Linked DNA regions of Callithrix jacchus. The protein of the gene in region 1 interacts with the protein of each later gene in a pairwise test. Links are inferred from orthologs where the notes say so. Each region holds a gene or a part of one and is shown in the gene's direction. Other genes may lie near its edges. The genes, in order: BNIP2, FRK, KLC1 and BCL2.

What was found.
Region 2: the proteins of BNIP2 (region 1) and FRK interact in binary tests that used the Homo sapiens proteins (3 or more experiments, as listed by UniProt). The two-hybrid records come from large-scale screens. The link is inferred for Callithrix jacchus from reciprocal best matches to the Homo sapiens genes BNIP2 and FRK.
Region 3: the proteins of BNIP2 (region 1) and KLC1 interact in binary tests that used the Homo sapiens proteins (3 or more experiments, as listed by UniProt). The two-hybrid records come from large-scale screens. The link is inferred for Callithrix jacchus from reciprocal best matches to the Homo sapiens genes BNIP2 and KLC1.
Region 4: the proteins of BNIP2 (region 1) and BCL2 interact in a two-hybrid assay, tested with the Homo sapiens proteins (3 studies listed by BioGRID and IntAct). The link is inferred for Callithrix jacchus from reciprocal best matches to the Homo sapiens genes BNIP2 and BCL2.

What each region holds. Positions count from the first base shown.
Region 1 is NC_133509.1:6,442,717-6,446,872, reverse strand, and holds the start of BNIP2 (BCL2/adenovirus E1B 19 kDa protein-interacting protein 2), read left to right. Parts: upstream 1-1,347; 5' UTR 1,348-1,530; intron 1,531-1,769; exon of another isoform or gene 1,770-1,929; intron 1,930-4,156.
Region 2 is NC_133505.1:122,322,675-122,326,235, reverse strand, and holds part of FRK (tyrosine-protein kinase FRK), read left to right. Parts: intron 1-2,582; coding exon 2,583-2,746; intron 2,747-3,561. UniProt on the Homo sapiens protein: Non-receptor tyrosine-protein kinase that negatively regulates cell proliferation.
Region 3 is NC_133509.1:138,437,292-138,441,367, forward strand, and holds the start of KLC1 (kinesin light chain 1), read left to right. Parts: upstream 1-1,234; 5' UTR 1,235-1,486; intron 1,487-2,065; 5' UTR 2,066-2,150; coding exon 2,151-2,173; intron 2,174-4,076. UniProt on the Homo sapiens protein: Kinesin is a microtubule-associated force-producing protein that may play a role in organelle transport. The light chain may function in coupling of cargo to the heavy chain or in the modulation of its ATPase activity.
Region 4 is NC_133514.1:106,291,974-106,296,294, reverse strand, and holds the start of BCL2 (apoptosis regulator Bcl-2), read left to right. Parts: upstream 1-1,476; 5' UTR 1,477-2,373; intron 2,374-2,596; 5' UTR 2,597-2,879; coding exon 2,880-3,467; intron 3,468-4,321. UniProt on the Homo sapiens protein: Suppresses apoptosis in a variety of cell systems including factor-dependent lymphohematopoietic and neural cells. Regulates cell death by controlling the mitochondrial membrane permeability. Appears to function in a feedback loop system with caspases.

The sequences.
Region 1 (4,156 bases):
CCGGCAGAGTGAGATTATGATGTCCTCCAAACAAATCTCGTTTGGTTGAAGCTGAGTATGGTCTGATTTGAATAGTTTACTTTGAGTACTCCGACCATGGTCTGTAGACCTGGGCTTTTCTGAGAACTGTTTGTAAATAGACTACAGAGAGATAGTAGAAAACTCTATAGCAATTTTCCGGGTAATTTTATGGATGTTAACCCTAACGATAAAAAGTTTACATTTGGACTTTGTGTGTCTTTTCATTTGTCTGTTTTATCAACTAATTGAAAATTTTTAAAAATTAATATATCATTCCCCACATTAAAGAGAAGCACTGCTGCAAAGCTGTTCACACTCGAAATTACCAAACTCCAAGGACGCTTCTGAGGCCTAGCTCCCCAAAATGAAGTCTCGGATATTTTTCCTCCCCTTATTTCTTTTCTTTTCTTTCTCTTTTTTTTTTTTTTTTTTTTTTTTTGAGATGGCGTTTTTGGTCTGTTGTCCCAGCTGGAGTGCAATGGCATGATCTCCGCTCACTGCAAACTGTGCCTCCTGGGTTCAAGTGATTCTCCTGCCTCAGCTTCCTGAGTAACTGGAATTATTGGTGTCCACCAGCACGTCCCAATAATTTTTGTATGTTTAATAGAGGTGAGGTTTCACCATGTTGTCCAGGCTGGTCTTGAACTTTTTTTTTTTTTTTTTTTTTTTAAGACGGGGTGTCACCATGTTGGTCAGGCTGGTTATGAACTCCCAACCTCAGGTGATCCACCCACCTTGGCCTCCAAAGTGAGCCACTATGCCCGGCCTGGTCTTGAACTGTTGACCTAGGGTGATCCACCCGCCTCAGCCTCCTAAAGTGCTGGGATTACAGGCGTGAGCCACCTCGCCCGGCCTCCTCCCCTTATTTCATTCATTTTATAATTCACATTGTTCACATTATTATTGAGCGTTGATAATTGCACCTATCGTAATGATACTGACACTTGCCCCTGTTGTTATAAAATTGCTATTGGTAATTGCACCTATTGCATTATAATATATTGATAGGGATAATTTCACCTACTGTAATGTTCCATAAAGAGAGGCAAAAAGAAAACAAAAATGACGGAGACTACAGGGCAGCGTCCCAGCGCACAACAAAGAAGAAACGCCTCGAGGCGCGGTAAACGCCACCAATAAGGACTCGAAGCGACGGGTCTGCCCAGAGGCGAGGAAGGCTGACGCGAGCGACAGCCCGGGCGGTCTGAGTGGGCCAGGGGGGTGCTGTGTGGGTTTCTAGGGGACGCCACGCCTCCGCCACCGCCTCCTCCGCTGCCGCGCCCGGAGGACGTCGGAGTGACGTCACTTCCGTCTGGATCTCTCACTGCTTCCGGGTCAGCTGCCGCCGTCGCCGCTGTGCCGCTGCGGCCGGGGGATTGGGCCGGGGTCTCCACCGCCGACCGAGGGGAGCGGGCTCCGCTCGGCGCCGCTTTTTGCGACCTGGCCGTCAGCCCCACGTCGCCGGCCTGGAGGGGCGAGGAGGACGAGGGGGCCAAGGCTTCCTCCGGGGTGAGTGCGGCCTGGGGGGACTCGGCACGGTGGCTCCGGAGCCGGTCTGGAACCGGCCTAGGGGCGCAGGTTTGTCGGGCGCTTACCCAAGACGCCCGGGGAGAGGAAACGCAGAAGGTTACCCGTGGTAGGGGGCGCCATAGAACCTGCTCGGGAGGTGCTTCCTGGATCCCCGCCCAGCGTAGGTCCCCGCCCTTGGCTCGGGTCCTGTTTGTATTTGGCAGTTGGGCCCCCACCCCACCCCTTTTCCGTTTCTGGTAGTTGTGCTCGGGATAGAACCTTGTGCCTCCCCCTCTCCCCCACCTTTACCCCGGTGTGGGTGAAGTGGCTGGGCCACGATGGTTCAGTATTTATGACCAGCGTCCGCCCTGGTGCAGAACAAAGAAACTTGGACTTCTGGTACGCCTTGTAACCTCGGGGAATAGACACGGGAGCAGCGTAAGAAATCCGGGCTTTATAGATCTTCCCGAGCGCGCTAAACCAAATCTAGAGTGTGTACGTCAAACGTCCAGTCCCCGCTGGGATCCCGACACCACCTTTTCTGTTTAAATACCTGGCACAATGGTTTGCATTTCTGGATGCATCTCTTGCCGCTGGAGAGTTACTTGTCTATCCTGTGAGCTCTTGGAGGGCACAGCTTTTGCCGTGTTCATCAAGATAGGCACAGTCTCCTGTTTCATCGAATGAATTATCTGATTGCATTTTAGTGTTGCTTTTTTCATTCTCACTTTCTCTTGATTAGGATCTCTGTCTCTCCTAATACCTGATTTCTTATTTTCAGTTAAATGTGTTATTTTTCTAACATTTTACTGGCATATCTGCAGATGTAGAAACAAATACTGTACTTTGTGAATGGATGTTTCCTCAGAATTGCAAGTGACGACGTTACCCAATTAAGTTACCCTTGCACACTAGTTTCTTGATCATTTTGCACATACTCGTCTTAGTTCTTGTTATTTTTCGGTTTCTCTAAACTCTATTCCTGGTCTTCATAATCTGTAGTGCAGCCTAACATAGTTGGGCTTAGACAGGAAGTATGACAGATCGATTTCTGCAAACGGAACTTGAACTGGATTATCATAAGTCAGTGCTATTATGGTCTTCAGGCATTACAATATCTTTGAAGCTAAGTGCCACCAAATCGGGCACTACGGGCTTATTCTGTATGCAGCTGCCAATGCATTGCAGACGGTGCGCTGTATTAGAGGCAGTTCTGGACTAGGTAGGTGGACCAGGATGTGGTTCCTCACATGTAAGATAAACTGAAGATAACACAAGTGTCATGCATCGCAAAGTGACTGGTTGGAACATGAGATGATGGATATCAAAGGGGTTAGTAAATGTGAAAAGCACTCTGGAAAAATTCTGTTCGATCTGGAGTAATGCTGGTAGAAGGAACAATAGGGAGAAGGGTGTCGGAGAAAGCATGTGTAACCAGATCCAGGAAGTCAAAGTTGGCTGGTAGGATCAAAGATGTCTTGTTACTTTGGGCGGCCAAGACAGCGGATCACCGGAGGTCGGGAGTTCGAGACCAGCCTGGCCAACATGGTGAAACCCCATCTCTACCAAAAATACAAAAATTAGCCGGGCCTGGTGGTACATCCCTGTAATCCCAGCCACTGGAGAGACTGGCACAGCAATCACTTGAACCTGGGAGGCAGAAGTTGCAGTGAGCTGACATTGCAGCACTGCACTCCAGACTGGTTCAGCGTGGGCTACAAAGTGAGACTGTGTGTGTCCCCGAGCCGCCACTCTGGTGGAAAAAAGAAATGCCACGTTGTGTTCACATGCTATGAAGCAAAATACTAGTGTAATACGATGATAGTAATATTCCACGATTATAGTTTTATGTTACAATTAATTTTTCTGACTACAGCAAACTAAGGTCTCAGCATTTTCTGTATGTTCTGCAATGATAATTCAGTAAAGGTCACTTTCGTAGGCAGCACCATCGTCTTTTGCTTTATTTTCACCATTTTGAGAGAAGTCATCGCCACTCTAGTTTTTCCTCTTACATTTTTGTTAACGTTTATTTTATTTATTTATTTATTTATTTATTTTTTGAGATGCAGTCTTGCTCTGTCACCCAGGCTGGAGTGCAGTGACTCGATCTCTGCTCCCTGTAACCTCTGTCTCCTGGGTTCAAGCGATTCTCCTGCCTCAAGATTACAGGCAGGCACCACCATGCTTGACCAATTTTTGTATTTTTAGTAGAGATGGGGTTTCTCCATGTTGGCCAGGCTGGACTCAAACGCCTGACCTCAGGTGATCGGTCCACCTCAGCCTCCCAAAGTGTTGGGATTACAGGCGTGAGCCACCGTGCCTGGCTTGTGTTAACATTTCTGATAGAGCATCTTATTTTATTGTTTAAAAACGATATACCCCTCCCCTCATGGAAGCAATGACAAGCAAGTATATAGGATTTTTCTAAGGATGTTTGGTGATCGCCTAAATGTACAGGCTGTTCGTTAAAAAGTGAACAGAAATGTTTAGAATGAAACCATTTTGTTTAAATGGGGAAGTGAAAGACTTGCCTGGGCATTTCCATCTGCCACTGTAATTGATTTCAGCATAAATAGTCGTTTCTGGCACGTATTGGAGCAGCACTGTTAAACTGCATATAGCA
Region 2 (3,561 bases), on another chromosome or scaffold:
CTCCCTCCCAGCCTCCCTCCCTTCCTTCCTCCCTCCCTTCCTCCCTTCCTCCCTTCCTGCCTTCCTCCCTTCCTCCCTTCCTACAAAAAAAAAAAATAATGTTCTATACTGAAATAATACAGCATTGACCTTAATGTAGCAGTTTCGAGACTCGATGTCCCATTTGTTCATAAACAGAAGCAAATAATCATTTTTTTAAAAGTATTCTTTTAAATTGCAGTGTGATACATACAATAAAAGTATACAATTCATAAGAGTTTAGTTTGGTGAATACAAAGTTTATAAACTCAGGTAACCAGCACCAAGTTAAGAAGCAGAATAAGGCTAACAACCCAGTCACTGACTCCTCATATCAATAGTTTTGCTTGTTTTTAAGATTTTTGTTTGTTTGTTTGTTTTTTAAGACAGTGTCTCATCCTGTTGCCCAGGCTGGACTGGAGTGCAGTGGCACAATCAATCATAACTTACTGCAGCCTTGACTTTCTGGGCTGAAGTGATCCTCTTGCCTCAGCCTTCCAAGTAGCTGTCACTACAGGCATGTGCCACCAACCCTGGCTAATTTTTTAAAATTATTATTATTATTGTTATTTTTTTTGTTGAGACAGGGTCTGCTGCTGTTGCCTAGACTGGCCTCAAACTCCTGGCCTCAAGTAATTTTCCCATCTCAACCTCCCAAAATGCTGTGAGTAAAAGCATGAGCCACCACACCCAACCGTGTTTTTTAATAATGAGACTATATATTTGAGTTTGCGAGATTCATTCACACCGTTGTGTGTAGCTGCAGTTTTTGTTTATTTACAAATATGCATTCCACTAGATGACAATTTTTTAGTTCATTCTGTTGTTTATTATTTGATAGATATTTGGATACTTCTATTTATTGGTTGATGAACATTTGGATTGCTTCCAGGTTTAGACCCTTAAAATCAGGCAACTAAAAACATTCTTAAACACATATTTTGGTGAATATATTGATTTTATGCTTAGGAGTAGAATTACTGTATTACATGTATGACTATGTTCAACTCTAGTAGATAAGGAAAAACAGTTTTCCAAAGTGGTGGTAAAAATTACTCTTCCATCAACTATGTGTGGGAAGTCACTCCACTTCTTTGTTAATACTGCCTTTTTTCATTTTAACTCTTCTGGTGCATGCCAATTCCTTTTTTTGAAAAAAAAAAAAAAATTGTCCTAGCTATTGGTGTGCCCTCAGTAAACCTCCATATGGGGATTGGGATGTCTTCTTCCCTTTCATAAGAGCATTGCACCAGCCTGACTAATCACTGAAGCATAAAATTATATATTTAGCAAGGAATGCAGAATAGCATTATAGTGGTAAATGCTGCCCAATGCTTATCAATAACTTTGTTAAGTGAAAGCATAAGTATAAAATGCATTAATCAATATTTTGAATGTAAGTGCAGAAATCCCTATTCAAAATAGTTTAACCAAAAAGGTAATTAATTGATTCTTGTAGCTGAAAAGCCAGGCTTGGCTGGCTCTGGGGATTAGGCTTCACTTTCCAAATCAAGACTGCTTCCCACTGGGCTGCTTCTTTTCTCAGGAAGCTTGCTTCCTGCCTAGAGGCCAGGATTCTGCCAATAGCTCCAAAATCCCATCAGTAAACCAAAACCAAAACAACAGCCACAGTAACAAAACTCTTCCTGTCTTCCTGGAACTTCCTAACTCAAGTCCTGGAATTGGGGGTTCTTGGCTCTTATTGCACTGATTCTGTCTTCTTCAGCTCCAGGTGGCTACCAGGTCCTTCTGGACCACATGCTTTTAGAGAAGCAAAAATTCCTGAGGAAAATTGGGGGTGCTGTTAACAGAAGAAGGGCCAAAGGGAGGTGGGTGGCAAGAGTAACAAAATATCCACTGCAGGCCAAACTAGGTAAAAATGATGCCGTCTAGTTATTCCTGTAGATACTACAGGACTTACTCTTGGAGTGAGCAATACTGCTGCGACATTGCATATGTGGACTGAATCAGTTTAGTCTCTGTGGAATTGCTGCTGTTGAACTGTGTTAGGACATTCGGTTACCAACCTGCATTGAGGTACAATATAATGAACAGTCCCGTGGAATTCCATGCATTATTCTAAGGTGGTATTGAGCATACTGTTTATTTCCGTCACCACATTATAGGATTTCATGGGAGAAATTTCTCCCTGGTTTCTGCACCAGGAAGAATTGAACTGTTTCTAAAAACCTTTCATGATTTTATCTTATGGACACTGTGAATCCCCAAAATGGTAAGATTTTCTTCTTTGCATTGTTAGAGTGATAGAGTCAATTTTATGGCTTGTTTTAATCACATATACTAGACTTAGAAGCATGAATTCTTTTAGTGCTAGCCTCACCCCTTTATTTTTACATTTTCTTTGGTATTATTTCCCAATTCTCACACCCTCTCTTTTGTTCTGTATTGTTGGTAAACTTTCTTAAGTCTTCTGAGACGAAGTTGAGAAATACATAGAATTTTATATAGATTTCATTTTATGCATTGAAAATGTCACCACAAAGTAAATAAATCTGCTTGTCTTTAGCAAGAAGTTTATTAATAGGAATTATTTTGGGTCTCAGTTTTAGATGGAGGAGTTGTAAAACACTACAGAATCAGAAGACTGGATGAAGGGGGCTTTTTTCTCACCCGGAGAAGAACCTTTTCAACACTGAACGAGTTTGTGAGCCACTACACCAAGACAAGTGACGGCCTGTGTGTCAAGCTGGGGAAACCATGCTTAAAGGTGAAAATGCTTTCAAGCTGTGTTTGTTTATTGAAGTTAACTTTTTTCCTCCAGATATCTGAATATTTGTCAGATATCTGGAGTAAAAAAGGAAGCAACCCCACTGGGCTGCTTCTCTTCATGGGGTGGCTAAAAAAATGACAATTTTATTACCTGAGGCAGGTATAGGCAAACCATGGCTCATGAGCCCACACTGACCTATGCTTGTTTTTAGAAATAAGTTTTATTTGCACAGATGCTCATTCATAGATGAGTTTTCTTTGGATTCTTTTGTGCCATGACAGCAGAGTTTAGAAGCTGCAACAGAGACCATAGGGCAGGTGGTAAACTAGACTATGAGTTCTAGAAGGGCAGGGGTCTTGTTTTGTGTATAGAAAAGTACCTAGTCAATGCTTAAAACAATTTTACTTACTAAATGAATGAGTAAATAAATTAATGAACAAATAAAGCAATGATAAAATGAGTTTGAAATATATAAACATTTAATTATGTAAAAATAGATGATGCATATAATATATACTATAGCCAAAGAGTTTGGGAAGGATTTGTGGGTGAGATGGAACTTCAACTGGGCCTTGGAACTGAGAGGATTTAGCTAAGCACAGGGGTAGAGAGAAGTCATTCCAGACTTGAGTGAGGATGGCGTTAGGTATGGGATCACACAGATGGACAACGAGGTGCCTGACTTCCCAAGATGTGGAAGATCAATCCGAAGAGTTAACAATGTAGATTCTCCCACCATTGTTTTTTGGTTTTGAAGTAATCAGAAGACTGTTTACAATGTTCTGTTTTTAAAAAAATGTTTTCTTTAAAAG
Region 3 (4,076 bases), about 130 Mb from region 1:
AGCTTGATGACACCCAAGCTGCAGTCTGGCTGAAATCGTGACCCTGAAAGTGGTGTGGGGAGGGGGTCTCTTTGACCCTGACTCACTCCCTCTCGCTGGGCCCAACCCTAACCGCTGTGTTACGCTAGGAGCTCCCCGCGTGTAGCCCACCTTCGTCTTCATAAACGAGATCAAAATAACCAGAGCTCCGTTTCTCAGGGTTCACACAGGGCTGCTGGCGCTGGGAGAGAACATCGGAAAGGAACAGCAGTCGATGGGGTTGGGGAACTGGCCCAGGAACCCTTGCAGGTTAAATGACGCCTCCGGGCCCCGCACTTGGGACGTCTGCGCACCGGGAGGGTTTTTCTCCAGCCGCTGGCGGCAGCGCGCGGAGCCTCGCCCACGGAATCAGCAGGTCCTCCCGGCTGGCTGCTGAGTCAGGCCTGCGGAGCCGGCGGAACCGCAGGACCCGACCCAGGCGCGCTCCGCTGCCCTTCAGGCTAGGCTGGAGGTCGAGTCCCTGCGGCCAGGGCCATGCGCCGGTGGCTGCGTGGGGACAGGGGGTGGGCGTCTCCCATCCTCACAGCCTGCACCCCGGCCCTTCCCCTGAGCCCGCCCGAGGTGCACTTTGTGTCCAGCAGGAGCGCCGGGGAAAGTCTCCCTGATTCGAGGGTCCAGAAGCCCCGAGAGGGGGGAACAATGACACGGGGAGGGCGCGGGGTTAGGGGTCAGGATCTCGACCAAAGGCTGTCGGGGGGCTCCCGAAGGCCTCCTAGTGGGGTTCTCGGGGGACCGAAATGAGCGCACGAAGCTCGCGGGCCTGGGAGTGGAGCGGGGCGGGGGCCCAGCGGTGGCGGCAGCGGCAGCGGCCGGGCCTGCACCTTCCCCGGCCGCATTCCGGTCGGGAGAATAAGCCGCTCCAGCGCTCGGCCGCCACAGCTGCGGCGTCAGAGACACCCGGGCCTCGTGGCCCACCGCCCGTGCCACGCCCTGCCCCGAGCGCCCCGTCTCGCCCGCGTTTCAGCCGGGAGGCCCGCGGGGTCCTGCAGCATCACCCTCCTCCCTCTGACCGCCCACCTGACACCCAAACAGCTTCCGCGCCCCTCCGGTCCCTAGGTCGCCGAGCGCCTCCAGGGAGCTACCCAGCCTCAGTTTCCCCGGCCCCGGGCGGCGCGAGGGACGATGACGTCATGCAGGCGCGCGGCATTGTGGGGCAGGGCGAGGCGGGGCACCGCGGGAGCGAGACTGAGACGCCATTTTCGGCGGCGGGAGCGGCGCGGGCGGTCGAGCGGGACGGGCTGGGTCGGCGGGGCTGCGCTTGGCGACAGAAAGGACAGCGGCCGAGGATGCTGCGGGGCGGCTGCGCCGGCGCCCCTCGCTAGCGACCGCTGTTCCGCGCCTCAGGCGGCCGAGGCCGGCTCGGCGCGCAGTTGCTGCTCCGCGCACGCGCCCGGCGGCGCTCCTGGTGCTGACAGCGCGAGAGAGCGCGGCCCTCAGGAGCTGGACGGTGAGTCCCCGGCGTGCGCCCCGGGCCGCGGCCCCCTGCTCATCCTCTGCCCTGTCCCCGCCCGGCTTTGGGTCCCGGGTCCCGGCCCCCGTCGGTTCCCACCCCCGGTTGCGCTCCAGGTCCCCACCCCTGCTGGTCCGCGGCCCCTCGCAGGTGCAGGTTGGCTTCGCGTCCCCGGCCCCTTTCCCAGCCCCGGCTCCCGGCGCCGCGCGTCCTCCCCGTTCGCGTCCCACTGCAGGTTCCGGTACCCGGCCCCGCCCCGGCCCCGCCCCGGCCCCGCATCCCCGGCTCCGCATCCCCGGCTCGGCCCTGCTGCGGGCGGCGGTGGCCGTTCCCGGGGACAGCTGCGGACCCCGGGAGCCCGCGACGGGGGAGGTGACCGCCCCCGGGATCGAGGCGGGCGGGCGGGCGGGCGGCCGGCGGGGCTGGCTTTGTCCGATTCCTCCTCTTCCTTCCGCCCCCGCCTCTCGCGGCACCGCCCTGAGAGGACGCGCCTGTCATCCTCGCGGGCGGCTGGGGGCCCGGTCCCTGCCGAGAGCCGACTCCACCCCGCCTCTTTGGCGACCCCCTTTTTTTCAGTAACCAGATGCGAAACGTTTCAGGCGACCCTGGTCACCTAGGCTGGCGTTGCTCCGACTAAACTTGAAGCAGCCCCCGTCCTGGGATGCGCTTTCCGGGTAAAATTCGGTGCGCCCTTTTCCTTAAGAAAATTAAAATAAAGCGCTAAAAAAGTAAAATATATGCGTGATGGAGTGGATGGTTTTATAACTTAACATATGTAGGTCATTTCTAGTCATATTTGTACTAGGATTATTGCTGCCTGTTGTTTTAAGAATTTACGTATTAAGCGTTTGAAAAGGAATGCTTACAAAAAAAAATTTTTTTTTTTTTTTTTGTTATTTTTTTTGAGATGGAGCCTCACCCAGGCTGGAGTGCCAAAAGCGGGGAGATCTCGGCTCACTGCAACCTCCGCCTCCCAGGTTCAAGCGATTCTTCTGCCTCGGCCTCCGGAGTAGCTGGGACTACAGGCGGGCTTCATCACGCCTGGCTAATTTTTGTCTTTTTAGTAGAGATGGGGTTTCACCATATTGGCCAGGCTGGTCTCGAACTCCTGACCTTGTGATCCACCTGCCTTGGCCTTCCAAAGGGCTGGGATTACAGGTGTAGGCCACCATGCCCGTCCAAAAAAAAAAATTTTTTTTAAAAATGTGAGAACAAAAAAGTTGAGATAATACTATTTTAGGTGTTCTTTACACGGGCAATTGGATCTTTGATTCTTTGCGTCAAATTCTAAGGTCTTTTTTTCTGTACAGCATGACTAAGCCATTGATCAGAATCGGCTCAGAATGCATTGCACTAGTTTAGTGAAAAACACATATGGGAACTGGAACGACCTCCTTAAGTTCCCAAGTTACATTAGTGTCATGGTCTTGCTTCTTTGAGGGATTGTCAACAAGCCTGTTATGGTGAGAAATTTGACCTATTCTGTTTCCTAAATATTTGTGAGAATACCATGATACTAAATCTGAAGTGTATTTCAACTTGTGTGGAATTCCGTGTGGGAGGGTAGGCACTCTAAAGAGCCAGTGTCTCTCCAAGTCCTCAAAGAACGCAACATCATGTTGCAGTTGGGCCTGGCAGCCCTGTGCTGGCACTGAGTGCTGTGGAGGACCCAAGTGGTGACCTCTAACCTTACTGCAGCCTTGGCACACTTCACCTTGCCTAGCATTGTCTTAGAAAAGCATCCAGACGTGCACAGGAGTCAGGATAGTGTTTATCTCCAGCAAGGGGAGGGAATGACACTGGGGAGAGGCGCACAGTGTCTTAACTATTTCATAACAAAAAACTACAGTCATTTAAATTTATACATTTTTGAGACAGAGCTTTACTCTTGTAGCTCAGGCTGGAGTGCCATGGCGTGATCTCGACTCACCACAACTTCTGCCTTCCAAGTTCAAGCGATTCTCCTGCCTCAGCCTCCTGAGTAGCTAGCATTGCAAGCATGTGCCACCATGCCCGGCTAATTTTGTATATTTAGTAGAGATGGGGTATCTCTATTTTGGTCAGGCTGGTCTCAAACTCCTGACCTCAAGTGATCCACCCACCTTGGCCTCCCAAAGTGTTGGGGTTACAGGCATGAGCCACCTTGCCCAGCCTGTTTATACATTCTTAAGCATGTTTCTCAATGTTGGAAAAAAGTCAATGTGTCACTTTCTGTATAGGGCCATAAACTATCTTAAAACATACTTATCTAAAAGGAAAACTAGACTAGAAAAAAGTCAGATGAAATGTAGGATTAGTATAACTTGGAAACAGTAGGTAAGTGGAATGTTAGAAAGCAGATGGGCCGGGTGCGGTGGCTCACGCCTTTAATTCCAGCACTTTGGGGGGCCGAGGCGGGTGGATCACGAGGTCAAGAGATTGAGACCATCCTGGTCAACATGGTGAAACCTCATCTCTACTAAAAATACAAAAAATTAGTTGGGCACGGTGGTGCGTGCCTGTAATCCCAGCTACTCAGGAGGCTGAGGGAGGAGAATTGCCTGAACCCAGGAGGCGGAGGTTTCGGTGAGCCTAGATGGCGCCATTG
Region 4 (4,321 bases), on another chromosome or scaffold:
TTGTCCCTATATATTTGAACTTGAGCCCTATTAAGTAAGCCGCTGTGCTTCTGGTAAACCTTTTATTTTTTTTCTCGGTGTCTTATTTGTCAAAGACTCTTGGAGCTAAAAATAAACACGTGCAACTTGTTTGTCCTCTTGTCCTTTTCTGCTAGGGGCTATTCATTCCGATGAATTTAAAACTGATTGCACTTACACACGTCTGCGAGTGTGGATGTGTATATATCTGCGTACATCATTTGAGAAAGTGCGGCCATCTAGGATTGGCTACAAGGCAAAGGTGGAGAAAGGTGGAGACCTTTAGGAGCCCACCCACCCCAGCGTTAGGACGGTGGGCCCGAAAGTTACTATGCAGAACTCTTCAGCGTGCAGCCCTGACCCAGTGCAGAACGTGTTAGGGACAGAGGAACAACACGGACTTAAATTATTTTAAAGCCCTTGATAACCCCTCGCTGGCTCCTTCCGTGGAGCGCTGAGTTCTGCCTGGCCTTGGCCACGTACTGGATATTCACGGGGACACCGGCGAGAATGCGCGCGCGTGTGTAGTGCGCCGACACCTAGTAATCCACTTGAAAGTAAACACTACGCTGGGGGCGTCCCTGGATATTGCTTAAAACGTTTCAGAGTCGCCTGTTTTCACCGCAGGGCAGAGCTAAGGTCCCCCTGCTTGGGGGTGGGGGGTGGGGGTGGCATTGGCCTGGGTCTTCCCCCGGGGGCAGAGCGCGGGTAACATGGCGTGTGTGTGTGTGTGTGTGTGTGTAGGCGCGTGTACACACACACGGCTAGAAAGGGTCCAGGCGACACACACACACACATACACTCACTCTCTCACTCTCTCTCTCTCTCTCTCTCTCTCTCTCTCAGTCGGCTAGAAAGGGTCCAGGCGGTTCCCGGCGCTTTTCCAGCCCTTGTTTTCATGGCGCACCCTCCCGCCAGCCGCCCCCCTCCGCTCTCCGTCGCCGGCCGGGCCGCGTGCGGTTCCCCGGCAGCCCCCACCCCCTCGCGGACCCCGAGGTCCGCGCCCGGCCCTCCACAGGCCTGAGCAGAAGGCCCGCTCACACCCACCGCGCCGCGGCCGCGCGGGAGGCCTGCGCCGCCCGCGCAACCCGCGCCACCCACCGGCCGGGCCGGGCGAACGCAGCGGAACGGGCGGGTGGCCGGCCCGGGTGCGCCCTCCCCGGTCGCGGCCCCGCGCGCCATGTGCCCCCGGTGGGGTGCGCCGCTCCCGGGCCCGCCGCGGCGCCTTTAACCCGGGCCAGCGAGCGGGGCGGAGGGGGCGGTCGGGCGGCTCAGAGGAGGGCTCTTTCTTTCTTCTTTTTTTGAATGAACCGTGTGACGTTACGCACAGGAAACCGGTCGGGCTATGCGGAGAATGAAGTAAGAGGACAGACACCCCCGCCCCGCGCCCGCCCCCTTCCTCCCGCGCCCGCCCCTCTGCGCCGCCAGCCCGCCCGCCGCGCCGCCCGCTCGCCGCTCGCCTTGGCCCCGCCGCGCCGCCGCCGCCGCCGCTGCCAGCGAAGGTGCCGGGGCGCCGGGCCCTCCCCGCCGGCGGCCGTCTGCGCTCGGAGCGGGCTGCGCGGCGGGAGCTCCGGGAGGCGGCCGCAGCCAGCGCCGTCGCGCAGGAGCAGGAGGAGGAGAAAGGGTGCGCAGCCCGGAGGCGGGGTGCGCCGGTGGGGTGCAGCGGAAGAAGGGGGTCCAGGGGGGAGAACTTCGTAGCAGTCGTCCTTTTTAGGAAAAGAGGGAAAAAATAAAGCCCTCCCCCACCACCTCCTTCTCCCCACCCCTCGCCGCACCACACACAGCGCGGGCTTCTAGCGCTCGGCACCGGCGGGCCAGGCGCGTCCTGCCTTCATTTATCCAGCAGCTTTTCGGAAAATGCATTCGCTGTTCGGAGTTTAATCAGAAGAGGATTGCTGCCCCCGTCCCCGGCTCCTCCGTCGTCCCCCCTCCCCTGTCTCTCTGCCGGGGAGGCGTGAAGCGGTCCGGTGGATAGAGATTCATGCCTGTGCCCGCGCGTGTATGCGCGCGTGTAAATTGCCGAGAAGGGGAAAACATCACAGGACTTCTGCGAATACCGGACTGAAAATTGTAATTCATCTGCCGCCGCCGCTGCCTTTTTTTCTCGAGCTCTTGAGATCTCCAGTTGGGATTCCTGCGGATTGACATTTCTGTGAAGCAGAAGTCTGGGAATCGATCTGGAAATCCTCCTAATTTTTACTCCCCCTCCCCCCGACTTCTGATTCATTGGGAAGTTTCAAAGCAGCTATAACCGGAGAGTGCTGAAGATTGATGGGATTGTTGCCTTATGCATTTGTTTTGGTTTTACAAAAAAGGAAACTTGACAGAGGATCATGCTGTTCTTAAAAAATACAAGTAAGTTCTCTGCACAGGAAATTGGCTTAATGTAACTTTCAATGAAAACATTTGAGAATTTTTACTTAAAGTGCATTCGAGTAAATTTAATTTCCAGGCAGTTTAATACATTCTTTTTAGCCGTGTTACTTGTAGTGCGTATGCCCTGCTTTCAGCCAGGGCATACAGGAAAATGCACCTGATTTTTTTAACTTATGAGTTTGTTTCTTCTTTAACCTTTCAGCATCACGGAGGAAGTAGACTGATATTAACAATGCTTACTACTAACGTGCCTCATGAAATAAAGATCCGAAAGGAATTGGAATAAAAATTTCCTGCGTCTCATGCCAAGGGGGAAACACCAGAATCAAGTGTTCCGCGTGACTGAAGACACCCCCTCTTCCAAGAATGCAAAGCACATCCAATAAAATAGCTGGATTATAACTCTTCTTCTTTCTTTGGGGGCCGTGGGGTGGGAGCTGGAGCGAGAGGTGCCGTTGGCCCCCGCTGCTTTTCCTCGGGGAAGGATGGCGCACGCTGGGAGAACAGGGTACGATAACCGGGAGATAGTGATGAAGTACATCCACTATAAGCTGTCGCAGAGGGGCTACGAGTGGGATGCCGGAGATGTGGGCGCCGCGCCCCCAGGGGCCGCCCCCGCGGAGGGCATCTTCTCTTCCCAGCCCGGGCACACGCCCGGTCCCGCCGCGCCCCGGGACCCGGTCGCCAGGACCTCGCCGCCGCCGCCCCCAGCCGCCCCCGCCGCCGCCGCCACGGGGCCTACGCTCAGCCCGGTGCCACCTGTGGTCCACCTGACCCTCCGCCAGGCCGGCGACGACTTCTCCCGCCGCTACCGCCGCGACTTCGCCGAGATGTCCAGCCAGCTGCACCTGACGCCCTTCACCGCGCGGGGACGCTTTGCCACGGTGGTGGAGGAGCTCTTCAGGGACGGGGTGAACTGGGGGAGGATTGTGGCCTTCTTTGAGTTCGGTGGGGTCATGTGTGTGGAGAGCGTCAACCGGGAGATGTCGCCCCTGGTGGACAACATCGCCCTGTGGATGACCGAGTACCTGAACCGGCACCTGCACACCTGGATCCAGGATAACGGAGGCTGGGTAGGTGCACGTGGTGATGGGAGTCTGGGCTGAGGCTGCAGGTCCGAGATGTGGGGGTTGGAGTGCGGCGGGTGGGCTCCTGGGGTAAGGGGAGGCTGTGGGGCTGGTGAAATAAAATCAGGGTTGTTGCTTCCCGGCGTCCATAACCTCTTCCTCTGGACAAAGTGTTCTTTCCCAACCTGAGTGATGACGCCTGCCCTCTAAAAGTCTTTAACTTGCTCGCTAGTTGAGGAGGTCCAGTAGGATGTGGTGGTCAATGGTACCCCTTCAGTGTTTCTCGAGCTGGAGGTCCAGGAGTCCCCAGGACCACAGTTTCCTGGCCTGAGCAGCTTGTTGGGACCGGAGGGAGGTTTCAGGGCCTGCTTATGAACCAGATGCCAGGTTGGGTCTTGACAGTCTGCATCCTAAACAAGCTCCCCTGAGACACGCCCCTGGTGCACTTAAATTTGGGAACACCCCAATGAGAAGAACAGACTCCACAGAAGACTAAGGGTACGCTTTTTCTAACTCGGTAAAATTTTCCAAAAGAGGAAAACCAACCTGAGTCCCTTTCCCTGGAAAACTTAGTTGTGTTTGTAAAGAGCTAAATTGACATTCCAAAGTCCTTGCACTGGAATCTCCAGTGTGTGCCATATTTCCAGTGGGCGTGACGCAGTGTCTTGAGGGGTATTGGTCTATGGCTTTGCTACCTCGTCAGTGACAGAATTTGCATCGGCTGCATTCTTTATGTTCTATAATTTGTGTATGAGTTACTAATTCACTAGAATGTTGTTAGAATCTTTTGTTTTTCACTACCTAGAGTCGACATAATTTTGTGGTCTCCTGAAAAAGTTTGCATCTAGGTATCTATGTAC